2 linked regions of the Caenorhabditis elegans genome follow. The protein of the gene in region 1 interacts with the protein of each later gene in a pairwise test. Each region holds a gene or a part of one and is shown on either strand. Other genes may lie near its edges.

Region 1 (4,645 bases):
TGCCTGCCTACATGCCTGCGTAGTGCCTACTTCAAGCCTACCTACTTCATTTTATTTAAATTGAAAAACTTACAACACTGTTGCTCATCAGCTCCATCAGCACAATCCTTTGATCCATCACAAAGTTTCAATTGATCAATACAATGCCCAGTACCAGGACAATTCCATTTTCCAGGTGGACATCTGTATTCTCCACATTCATCTTCATCCGAGTTATCACCACAATCATCATAGTAATCACAACGGAATTTTCGAGGTTGACAACGTTTATTCTTGCATTGGAATTCATTGGCCGTACACTTTTTGAATTCTGAAATATCATATTTTCAGAAAGAAACTTCTAATTTTCAGGTATGTACCACAAGTGTCAGGTTCGTCAGATCCATCAGCACAATCTTTCGATCCATCACAAACCCATGATTTCTGAATGCATTGAGTCTTATCAGCACAACGGAATTGATATTGGAAGCAGGCTGTGTGATTTCGGGAACAAGAATCCTGAGAAAATAATTAAGAATAACTAAAAAAATAACTAATTTAAGTTGAAAATTACCTTTTCATCACTTAAATCTCTACAATCATATTTTCCATCACATTTCTTCGACACATCAAAACATTGTCTCCCATCAGCACACATAAATACATTTTGGGAACTGCAGTCCACAGTTGAAGCAGCTGAAAATTTTAATTCAGATTATTATAAATAAGCCTTCTCAATTTGAACATTAAAGCAAAAAACTCACGACAATCCTTTTCATCTGATCCATCTGCACAATCAGTGATGTTATCACATCTTTGATATTCGGCAATACATGAGACACTGTGCCATGTGTAGGTATCACATTGCCATTGATCAGATTTACAGCCAGGATGTGCTGAAAATTGAGGAGTGGGTTCGAGAATTTAACAACTTTTATTATTTTCGCAAAAAAATTGTCGCAATTAGTCTCGTAGAAATGAATTTTTGAAACAGACCAAAAGATTTGGGAACATTTTTATATTCAAACTTACGGCAATCTTTTTCATCCTCGCCATCTGAACAATCACCAGATCCATCACATTTCCATTCGGTACGTATACATTTTCCATCGTTACATCTAAAGTCATTCTCGTTGCATACTGATGAAGCTGTGTTTACTGATGCAGATATTATTCGAGAACGAACTGATGGCGGTGAGTCAACTGCAAAAATTTTAGATTGCTTTCAGCCTACTGTCAATTTGTATTGTTCCATTTTTTTGGGGTTGCATGTTTTCGTTTAAATGTTAAACATTTTTGGCAGAAAATATTGTTCATCACATTGATTTCTAAAAAGCTCTGAAATATTCCAAAAGTTACGGTACTTAACTGTTCTGTGATATACCAAGCCTATTGACATTTAAAAATTCAAAGAGATGAACGAAATCTCTACATAAAAAATAAATACTTTTTGTTGATTTTTCTGAATCATTTTTCAAAATCTTTGCTTTACAGTTTCCAAATTATTTTAACGAGGAAGAAAAATTGCAAAATAATTTTAATTTCCGCGCACTCCTGGAACAACGACTGGAAACCCTACTATCCGATCTTTCTATCCTTTTGACATTGTAACTTAAGATTAAACATCACAAGGGCAGACCAAAAGCTGTCTAAAACTAAATCAAATGTTTGACACGGTGTAGTGGTCATCTATGGGGTTGAAGCCAGTTTTCCTCCCTTTTTTGTCACTTTTTTTGGAATGATTGTTTGAAAAACGATGGTCAAAAAAACTTGTATCATTCAGTAACCACATCAACAAACAAATACTAATCACACTTTAATTTACACCGCTTGAAAACTTCGGAGGCGAGGAAAAATATGATGACAAATTTTGTTTGAAACAAAACAAAAAGTAGAAAAAAGGAAAATATTTGAATGAATTGGAAATAATTTTTAATGTTGCTGGTAAATTTTGAAAAAGACCTGATTTGCCAAAAACCATTGTGAATTCTTTTAAATATTTTCCCTAGTGGCGCTATTCCATCTTTAAAATAAGATGTGAAAAGATCATGAAAACCTCGAAATTCTTGGAACAATTAATGTTTTTAATAGTGTATATTCCTTTGTCGAATATTATCATATATTTGTTCACTTTTGTTGGTTTGTTGTTCTAACTCTGAGACTTTTCTCTATTCCAATTGAGAGAGAGAGAGACATTATTTGTGCTATGAGGTGCGCGAGTATGCTTCTCGTGCAGACAAAAGTGCGCCGAACCTCACGAAGCAATGCTCCACATAGGTCACTCTTGAACACCTTTTGAGCTTTTCCTGTTTTTTATGCACCTTTTTTGTGAACATTTGTGCTTCTATCTTTGGTGATATGTAGAGAGGTCAAGTTTGAAATGTCTGGAGGCAGGGCCCAAATTTCAACAAAAAAAACTACGGGAAATAAATTATTTGAACGCCAGTCAAGAAATTATTGAAACTTTTCAAAATAATATTAATTTCCAGTCAAAAAATGGCAAATACTCAGTCTCTGCCATTCATAATTTTAGAAAACGGTAAATATTTTTTAAACCAATTTTACAAAAGCCCAAATCTTTCAGAAAGATTGTCACTTAACAGAAACCTTTTTAATAGAAAGTTTTTAACAATCTAAAAGAATTTAGAGAATGCAACTTTTTTTATTTTCAATCATAAAATGGTGCAGAGAATTCGGACTTACAATTTACAATTATAGAATATAAATATTTGGAGTACTACCCCTGGCAATAAGAAAATTACAGATTTTTGAAATAATAATAAAAAAATTTATCTGAAACCAGAAAAAAAAACAGAATTGTTTTTAACTTGATAGAACTTTTATCGATTTTAAATACAAAACCTTCTCACCTTGAATTGAATGAAACGTTGACTGTTGCCGCGTACTTGAATTGGCGGTTGTTACAGCCAACGCTGTGAAAATGAGCAACCTCAGAATCATTTTTTAATTATTCTCGAAGCATTTGATGGTGGTGATTAATTATGGATGATTGTGAATAAAATATATGTGATTGCGGGGGAGTTATGAGGCTGCGCCTGAAAATTAAAAACAATTTAGTTGGTGGATTCTAGAGGCAAAGGGGAAAATATATTCAAGAAGGCAGTCTGGCAAATGGGGAGATCCATAATTAATCAAAGTTTAAAAATTGATATGAATTGGTAAGCAGGTATTAGAGAGATGCTAGGCATGAAGGTACGCCTGAAGCTCACATACTTACACTGCTTAAAGTATTTCGTTTACTCACAAGTTCCAAGTTGCCTGTTTGGCTTAAACTGTTACCAAATTTTCAAAATCAATGGTCGGTTCAACTCTTGGTTGGATAAAAAAATTGAATAATATTTTGGCTATTCTTATCTGACCGTATTTTCTCGATTAGTCTTCATTTAATAACTGTTTTCCTAAATAATTGAAGGTAAACAAATCATCAATATTTTGTGAATTGACAATTTTTTGGTAAAACCCGAGAATTCGGATGTCCAAATTAGGTGATGAGATGCACGACTATTAGAGGAAATAACATATTGATTTTCTAAATTTTAAGGTTTTTCTAGTAACGAACTGAGATATAAATATCGAAGATTAGTATAAAAATAATAAAAGAACTGAATCGAAGTTAAATACGAATAAAAATGAAAACAGTTAAAATAATTTGGTTAGAAAGAGATTGGCAATAAAAGTGTTTTATTTATCACTAACTTAGGAGATAGCATGTGATTTTCTATTAGACTTGTGATATGGTATTTTGAAATTTTTGCAGAACTAGTTTGAATTAATAAACATTGTTTTCAAGATTCAGGTATTTAAAGTCATTTTCAAAAAATAACATTTTTTAAGTAGCAATAGTTTAACTGTTGATTTGAATAATAATCTTGACGCATGACAAATTAAATCAAGAAAGAAGAGATATCATATTATAGTTCGATCAATTTCAGGAGAAAAACTAAAATATTCGCCAAATCTCTGGGATTCTAGAACAATCGATGGCGGGAAAATTGAAAAGATAAAATAAGGTGATCATCACGAGAATTGTCCCCTCTTCTCACCAAATAGTCCTCCCGTCCCCATACATATCTATCCCTTGTCAACCTGTTCGGAAGGCCTGCTGACTGTGTCCGTCCCCCCATATAACTGATTAATGAATTTGATACGAGGAGGCGGAGTCAAGGAAAATGCCACGTCACATAAAGCACCATATCAGGACCATGGGACTAAAAAATACATTTTCTCTGATAGGTTCTGATTATTATTAACTCGGGAAATGGTGAATCGTCGTTTAAAGGCGCATGGAAAGCCTCAACATGAAAACTGCCGTTATTTTCCAGGTGGGGAATGAAACTATAGTAATTAATTTATTCAGTCTTCGATAAAGTCTAGAAGAATCAGCATCGAAAAACATAAAGAGCACGTTTAAAGGTCGACTGTCACTTCTGGAATTTGGTACAAAAAGTCGCGGAGCTTCATTCAGGAATTTGGATCCGGTGGGGCGTAAGTTTCACACTAGCTATTTTGATGCATTATTTTTCTTTGGAAAAACCTGAAACCGTATTTATTATCAAGACGCAAAGGGAAGAATAATTATAGAATTTTTGCCGCTGCGGATCCAAATTCTCGAATCAAGCTCCATCCAATTGTGAGTTTTTTCGAC
Region 2 (7,999 bases), on another chromosome or scaffold:
TAAAAACTAAAAAGCTAGTAAAATAGATTAAATTGTACCTTTGGTGGGTTTAAGATATGCTCAAATGGATTCTTTTTTGTCTCCTTGATACCCTGTCCACCAACCAATGCGTCCATATCAACCAATTTCGTGAAAGCTTCTTCAAGCGACGTCACCTTCTTTTCACTCCAGGTTTCGGCCCTGAATCTTGTTTTTGATTATTATTAATTTAGGTTTTAGAATATCACTCACTTATTATCTCCAAAGTTGGCAAAAGTGCTGGCGTGATGCAATGATGACTGCTGTTGTTGGATATTAGTAGATGGTGCCATATTCTCTTTCGTAGTCCCAGTTCCAGTCCAATCAATATTTGAATTTGGAATAGCAGAGGAATGTACAGAGAATGGATCACGGTATTGTGTTGGAGCAACAGTTGGAAGTGGTGGTGGCGGAGCTTGAGTATTGAAAGCCGACGCAAATGGATTAGTATCCGAGAATCCGTTTGTTCCGAAAGCAGGTGTACTATGAGCATGGTGCATTTGTTGCTGCTGTTGTTGTTGTCCCCAAGCGTCAAATGATCCAGCTCCGGATGTTGGCCAATTCTGATGAGATTGTTGAGGAATTTGAACCATTGGCATCTGCATTTGTTGAACTTGTGGAAGTTGAAGTCCTCCAAATGGCACTTGAGTTCCAGACATATTTGCAGTTCCATTTGACGTGGCTGTACTGTTGAAGCTGTCTACGAAAGGATCTCCAAATGGTGATGCTCCGAAGGCATCACAGTTTGTCGGGACAGTTGAAAGTTGTTGAACTCCTCGTTCAATTTGCTGAAGTTCGGATTCCAAGTCGAGAAGATCAGCGACGGCGACTCCACCTTCCTTCTTGCTCTGGAACTTTTATAAAGTCATAACAATGGACTTTTATAATTTAAAAATGCATTGGATCTTTGGAATTATTCTAAAAACTCACACTAATTTCAGCTCCACCATCTTGAATCTGTTGTTGCTTAACTTGCTCAATCTGTTTTTTCTTCATTTCAAAAACAACTTGGAACATGTCTCTGATAGCAAGAACTGCTTGATCAGCTGCCTGTGCTGTTTTGATTCCATAGAACTTGTACTTGCCTCCAGGTTCACCGTAAACAAGTCCAAAAGCTCGAGCATCAGAAGAATCACGAGCGATGAAAGAGATTCTTGATACTGGGAAATTATGAAGAACAGCGCCGCTCTTTTCATCAAGAACTTTGATTCCATCAATGTTGATTTGAAGAGTAATACGTGTTTTGTGAGCTCCAGCAGCCTTGATAATACTCTTGGCAGTTCGCATTGCTTCAGCACACATTGCATCTCCTCGAGCCTTGTCCACATCTTGTTCTCCGATCAGCTTTCCCTGAAATAACAATTTTACAAAAACTACTACATGAATCATTAAAAAAAACTCACCTTGTAGGAAATTCCATTGTTTTGAAAGCGAAACGGATCCGATGATGCATTTGATGCTAAAAAGTTTAAATTTTAGATTGATAATTATAGAGTAAATCATACCCCGCGCCTTTTTCTGCTTGAATGATTTGGAAAACGAACGCCCTAATTGCGTCTTTTTCATGATAATTAGGTATTCACTTAAAATGAAATTTGCAAAATCTATTAATGAGTTTAAAAGTATACAAACACTCGTTAGAAATCGATATAGAAATCACATAGAGCGGGCGCTAGAGAGCGTAAAGAGATAAGAAAACGAAGTGAGACGCAGAGAAGAAAGGAGCAAACTTTCTGCTTGGCAGATCATTGTCACAAGTTTTTGGGGGAAAAGAAAGAGTGAACCAATAAACTTTGAACTCTTTCCTGAAAATGTTATAGATAACAAAAAGATAACATTATCTATCTGTTGAAAATTGGCAAAAAGGCTATCTTCTCGTTAAATTATCAAATTGATATCTCTACATTCACAATTGGATACTCTCAAAAATTGAGAAATCATTTTTTCGGAACTCAGCTATGTTCTCACCTTTCTTGGTTCTCTTCAGCATTGCAAGTCGGGACTTTGGTGATGGTGGATTTGGTTTTCCAGATGTTGCATTTGCCGTTTCCACTGATATATCCGACTTTTGAGCCATTGTTTCGAGAGAACCTTTAGAAATAAGATTTATTACAACGAAAAAAAAATAGAATTTAAAAATTACAGTAAAAGAAAACTAAGAGTATAACAAAGCTTTTTGGAACGAAAGTGAGACCAAAAAGAATTGTGAGGTGGTGGTGGGGGATAGAGTGTGAAAGGAGGGTGAAATCATGATCAGCCCCCTTGGGGGCACATGATCGACCGGTTTTCATCTCCATATCGGAATAAAAGAATACAAAAAAATGAAGACGACCGTGAAAAAGTGCAGTAGTCATTTTTCATACTTCAAGGTGACAAGTTGACACTGGATATGTACTTGTTATTACTTTCGAAATGGAAATAAGAAAAAATGTCGGATTCAAATAGCAATACTTTTCAAAAGCACTATGCAATCTTGAAAATAATTCTTAGGTAAATAAAGTTATTTCATACTGACAAATATTTTGAAGACACACCTTTCCAATTTGAGCGACGATATATTCTAATTAATTTATGACATGATTCAGAATAATATTTCAAAAAACGCGAGATCATTACGTAGACGTAATCTAAAGTTGATACGAGTTACAGTAACCCGTTGTCCGCGTGGCGAGACCGAGCGCGTAAGATCTGGCGAAAAATTCTATGAAGCCGAGAAATTGATTTTTTACAAATATTCAATTCAATCTTTTTTATTTTATTACAGTCAACCTTGAACTAAGAAAAATAGACTGTTCTTCATTTATTTTGCGGTCAGGGGACATTCTTTTACATCAGCTGATTACAATCTTGACAGGAATGGGAGTACGTAGTGTGTGATGTAGTTAGTTTCATAAAATCGAGATCAGGACTGTAACTTAATTATTGTAATAGTCAATGCATAATAGAACACTAAATCACAGTAGAAGAAAGAAAACGAAAACAGATTGACATTGTTAGTCATCCAAACCGAAGTGAGTCACTACTGTGTTGACTGGAGAATACGACAACTGTGAGGATCTGAATTATTACGAAATCAAGAGAAATCAGCCATAAAACTATCGGAAATCGTTTGGGCGATCCCAAAACTCTTATGTGTAACAAAAACGACAAAAATAAAGAAGATTTGTTGACCAACAATCAGGTAATGTCGTCAAGTTTTGCAGAGAAACATTTCATGACTAAACCAAATAGGGAAAATCAATACAAATATGGAACAATAGCCAGAACGACGGAAACATGGCCAAAAGGTGTGCGTAGCTTTGCTCAGCAACCAGACGATCAAGTTGCTCTCACACTCTCTTCTTCCGCGCGGAAACTCGCCGGAACACTCCTCCTTTTCCTCCAAAACTCAATGTGTGCTTGACTACTAGATTTACAGGACACACACACCTTCGGGGATGCCGCCAGTCATTTTGCAAACATGACGTAAAAGAAAGACAGCTGCAGTCAGTCTCTTGTGAATTTATCTGCCTCTATCTGATGTCCTTTTACCTCTCTGATCTTGATGATTCCTAGGCTAGGATCCCCCGTTACGTAACATCTTGATTTCACATTTTGCTGCGTTGAATTAATGCGTCACCTGGACAGTGGATGGGAAAATGGGCAAGAAAATCGAAATATTGGAAGAAGATGTTAGACACGAAGGCAAGAAAAATCTTGTTTCTCTTTTATATGGGTTAGTATCGAATTGAAAACTTGGGAAACAGTGAATAGCAACATAATAATTATATCCTAACCAGCGTAATTTACCAAAATATTTCAAAAACTTTCAAATCGATAGGGATAATTTGAAATCGTTTTAGGGTACTGCACATTACGCAAATTTTTTGTTCGGTTCAAAAATAATTAAAATATCATTCTTATTCAGCATTATTATAAGGACAAAAATAAAGGAACAACATTAATGCAGCTAGGTCTATTAATGTCAAATCCGTCGGGAATCGTAATAAGCTTAGCTGTCAGATACGGAAACCTAAGTATTTACACTCATGTCGAGTACTGTAGCATATATTCAAATGAGGCAAACCAAAAACCGGAGAAACGGAAAACAAGCAGGCGTCAAGAATGAGAATGAAAAGAAGCAGAATAACGTTCATCTAACTGAATACTTCGTCAGCACCATCATCATCAACGTCTCCTACATCTACTAATCGGAGAAATCTCAACACACTTGTGATCATGGCCATCATTAGAAAATTACTATTAATATAATGATGTCTTTTTTTTCGTTTTCGCTTCTATTCAAGTCTGATGCGATGATAAAATTCTGTTGATGACGACGACGAAGCGGCGGCGGACGTTTTATGAAAATCAGGTTCTTTTTCGGAGCGGAAATTGAAGGTGACCGTTGAAAACACAAAAAGTAACTTCGAAAAAATGAATTTTATTTCTTTTTGTTGTTGTTATTGAAAACAAAAAATCGAGAAGAGAAACACCCAAAATTCTCAAAAGCATCAAAACAATTATTGGAAAGAGACCGTACTACGAAGGGATTATAATTCCAATATGAACACACAATAAAAGATGCGAAATAAGAAATGTGTTATACTTCTTCAACACACAACAATACCATCTGAAGGACACACTAACCAAATCGATCGAACACGTAAGTAATTGGAGTTGAGGTCAAAATTGCAGCCGAGTCAGTAGTAGTAGGCGGAAAGAAACAATAGTGACTCATCTAAACAAAAGCATGAGTGGGAGGGACGGTGAATAAAGCGAGGGACTTTTCGTGCCGAGACCACGAGGATTGACGAATAACATCTATCGATTCAAGTAATTGAAGCGGAACGAACGCTTTTTGGTGTTGACGGGAGGATTGGGTGGGGACGAACGGCGGGACAGGATAATTACCCGAAACTGCGCAGAAAAAAAAACATGGACAATGGTTTCAAACCAAAATTGTGAAGATCATGGAAACTAAATAATAGAGACAAGAAAACGAAACTTGTGAGTACCAATGGTAGTTCTCTAAAATAGAAAGTAAAATAATGTTTATTTACTACAAAGCATACAGAGAAGATGTAGATTAATTAACTACTACTATACTAAGCTCTATTGAAACGGGAAACCATGTCACTATGCACCATGTCAACAATATGGTTCAGTACGAAGCGTTAATTTTTTTGGAAACAGAATGTATTTATCTCCAAAACTCTTTTAAAACCCGCATCGTTTCGTCTAAAAACTCAGATAAAAAGGTAGAAAATTTCATTACTAGGGATATTGAATGATATTTTATAATTTTATAATTAAGATATTCGAGTTTTCTTAAAAAAGGACGCCTCAGAAACCACTAATTTTATCATGCATAAATAAAACTGACAGGATCAGATCACCAAAAAAGCCGGCTTTCCTTTGCCTCCACTCAAATTGAGACAAATATCGACTGAAGAGGGACCCCTACTAATGCTGCATGCTGGACATGTCTACGTCTCTCATCCTCTTCTACTTTTCTTTTCTTCACGGACATCCTCCGCGTGTGTATGTGAGCGTGCGCGCACACGAGAGGTAGAAAAGGGTTAAAAACACTCTGCATACAGTCACTGTGTCCAGACCAGTTTTTTGTCTTAGACTGAGAGAATAGTTTTGAGGCGAAGACGAGAGAGAGAAGCGAATAAAATTGAAAGAAATCAGTTGCCTATTCTTCTATTCATTGTCGCAAACCTCGACAAGCATCACCATTACTACGCAGATCGAGAATAAAGTTTAAAATTTTATAATGTAAAGAAAAATGACAAAAATTGAAAACCTGTCTCAAGGAAAGATGAATGAAGTTTCTAACGAAAAAAGAATTGAGATTTGCGCGGGTAGATCAAAGGTTACTGTAGCAAATTTTTTCAAAAACTATTTAATTTTATAGGTCTAAATTTTAAATAAATTCAAACAAACCTGCGAAACGGCGAAATTCTCTCGATTACTGTTTATATTATTCCTTCTCATATTAGATTTCATTTACATTCGCCAGTGACACGATTTCCTAAATATTTATTCAAAATCGAGTCAACGTAAAACTGTGAGCATTTGATGAGAAAACAGAGCAAGCTATATAAATGGGGAACAACCCCAACAAGAACTATGATGAAAAAAAAAAAAAACAATTTTGATGCCCATTTTTATTTGTGGTGGAGGTGGTGATGATGATAATAACGGAAGGACAATTAGTTAAAACAGGAAAAACGTAGAATTCAAGGAAGTGGAAAATTTAAGATGGGCTGATGAGAGGATATTAAAATTAACCAATTGTCACAATTTCTAGAAGATCCAGGAATCAGACCGAAGGCACTGACTTACACACAATTAGGAAATTTGGAAAAGAAATGAAGCTAAGAGCTAGTCAAAAGTCTTCGTTTTACGATAAATTCGATGCAATTCAACGAAATTCCAGCACTCCGAAAAAATTCAGCGACTTTTCGACCGTCTCTTAGAAAAGACCCTTTAAGCACGAAAACAAGCATAGCAAGAAATGTTCTCGGGACCAACTGGTATGGAAATATGAAGGGAGAAACCAATAAAAAACCAACAGCTAATTTAGAAACAATAAACAAGGAGACTATGAAAGGGTTATTCAAATAGAAAAACGAATGAAAGAAATGGGAACTGGGAGCAAATAAACGAAACGGGAATCCAAATGAGGATATAAATATTTAATGATTTGGAGGAAAACGTGATATTTTTAGTGATCATCAGAAGAAAAGGGTAAGGTGGGTGGGAAAGGGGCTATAACGAGTTGATTTCTGCGTCTCGAAACGAAAAATGAAGAGAATCTTCACGTTTCGAGACGAGTTGTAGAATGAGCGGAAGTTTGCAGGAAAAATGATCTGAATGTCTGAAAATTGATTTACTTCAGCTAAATCATGATAATCAGTTATTCATTTTGAAACTTTTCTTGCAAACCTCTAACAAAAGAAAAACAAGCAATAATATCGAAAACCATTAATGGGATACCCAATAAGACATAAAATCGGTAGGGATGGACGCGCGGCGAAAAAACGAAAAACTTGACATGTTTAGACCGTATTATCAACAACTCGTTCTTATATAGATAATTAAAATGGGTTTTAGCACACAAAAAAGTTCTCTATAAATCTACTGTGGAGTTTGAAAATCCAAAAATACGATAAATTAGTTGCCCGTCAAATAGCTCGACAACGTTTTTCCATTTTTAAACGTCACTGCTTCCATTTCTGCTGAAAGTCCTTCTTCCATCTCAGTCTTTAACTTCATGTCCGAAAACTCCCACGAGATTCCTTCTGCAGCGCCAGTCACTTCAAGCTCAAGCTCGATCTGAAAAAAATTAAATTAAAAAAATAAACGCAATGTACTGAATCTGAGCACTAAAATTTGCAATAACTCACCAATTGCTTCAAAACTTGAACAAGAAGGTCAAATTTCTTATTTCCTTCTCCTTTGGCAGCTGAGAAAATTGGCTTCATGTCCGCTAATGAGAAAGATTCAACTTCTCCAATTTCGTCATGTGGAGCATGACTTGTGTTCACGAGAACTTCACCAGTAACGGTCCACAATTTGGGATAATCTTGCTGGAGCTCAACATCATTAGCGAATTTGCAGAAACGGGTAGCTCTGAAATAATTTGTAAAGCTCAATAAATCATAAACTCTTGCCTTACCCCTCTATAAAAGCTTGCTTCTCAGTCTTGCTGACCAATGACATCCGCAGAGCAATAGCCAACTTCTTTCGATCATCATCCTTCAAACCTTTTTCGATCACAGCTCGGATAATCATCTCATAGACTACTGTCAATGACGGCGAACCGTATTTTTCTTTTCCAACATAATCGGTGATAGAGTCAACCAATTCCTTTTGGGAGAGCTCACCACTAGACATTTCTAGAAGATCGGATTTAACGGTATTCATAATCTTGGCTCTGACAGCTTTCTCTTCTTCAGTCAGCTCATCGTCGGTCTTGTCAGTATTCGAA

Evidence for each region. Proteins that work in one complex are often made in the same cells at the same time.
Region 2: the proteins of lrp-1 (region 1) and dab-1 interact in a two-hybrid assay, tested with the Caenorhabditis elegans proteins (one study listed by BioGRID).

What each region holds. Positions count from the first base shown.
Region 1 is NC_003279.8:7,612,566-7,617,210, reverse strand, and holds the start of lrp-1 (Low-density lipoprotein receptor-related protein), read right to left. Parts: upstream 3,036-4,645; 5' UTR 2,941-3,035; coding exon 2,850-2,940; intron 1,183-2,849; coding exon 1,012-1,182; intron 876-1,011; coding exon 744-875; intron 676-743; coding exon 554-675; intron 499-553; coding exon 360-498; intron 311-359; coding exon 74-310; intron 1-73.
Region 2 is NC_003280.10:8,220,426-8,228,424, reverse strand, and holds the start of dab-1 (PID domain-containing protein), read right to left. Parts: upstream 6,038-7,999; 5' UTR 5,950-6,037; intron 2,110-5,949; 5' UTR 2,096-2,109; coding exon 1,987-2,095; intron 1,706-1,986; exon of another isoform or gene 1,585-1,705; coding exon of another isoform or gene 1,524-1,584; intron 1,478-1,523; coding exon 1,422-1,477; intron 1,369-1,421; coding exon 949-1,368; intron 873-948; coding exon 232-872; intron 187-231; coding exon 39-186; intron 1-38. Other genes in the region: ifg-1 (MIF4G domain-containing protein), read right to left, coding at 7,183-7,344, 7,416-7,641, 7,688-7,999.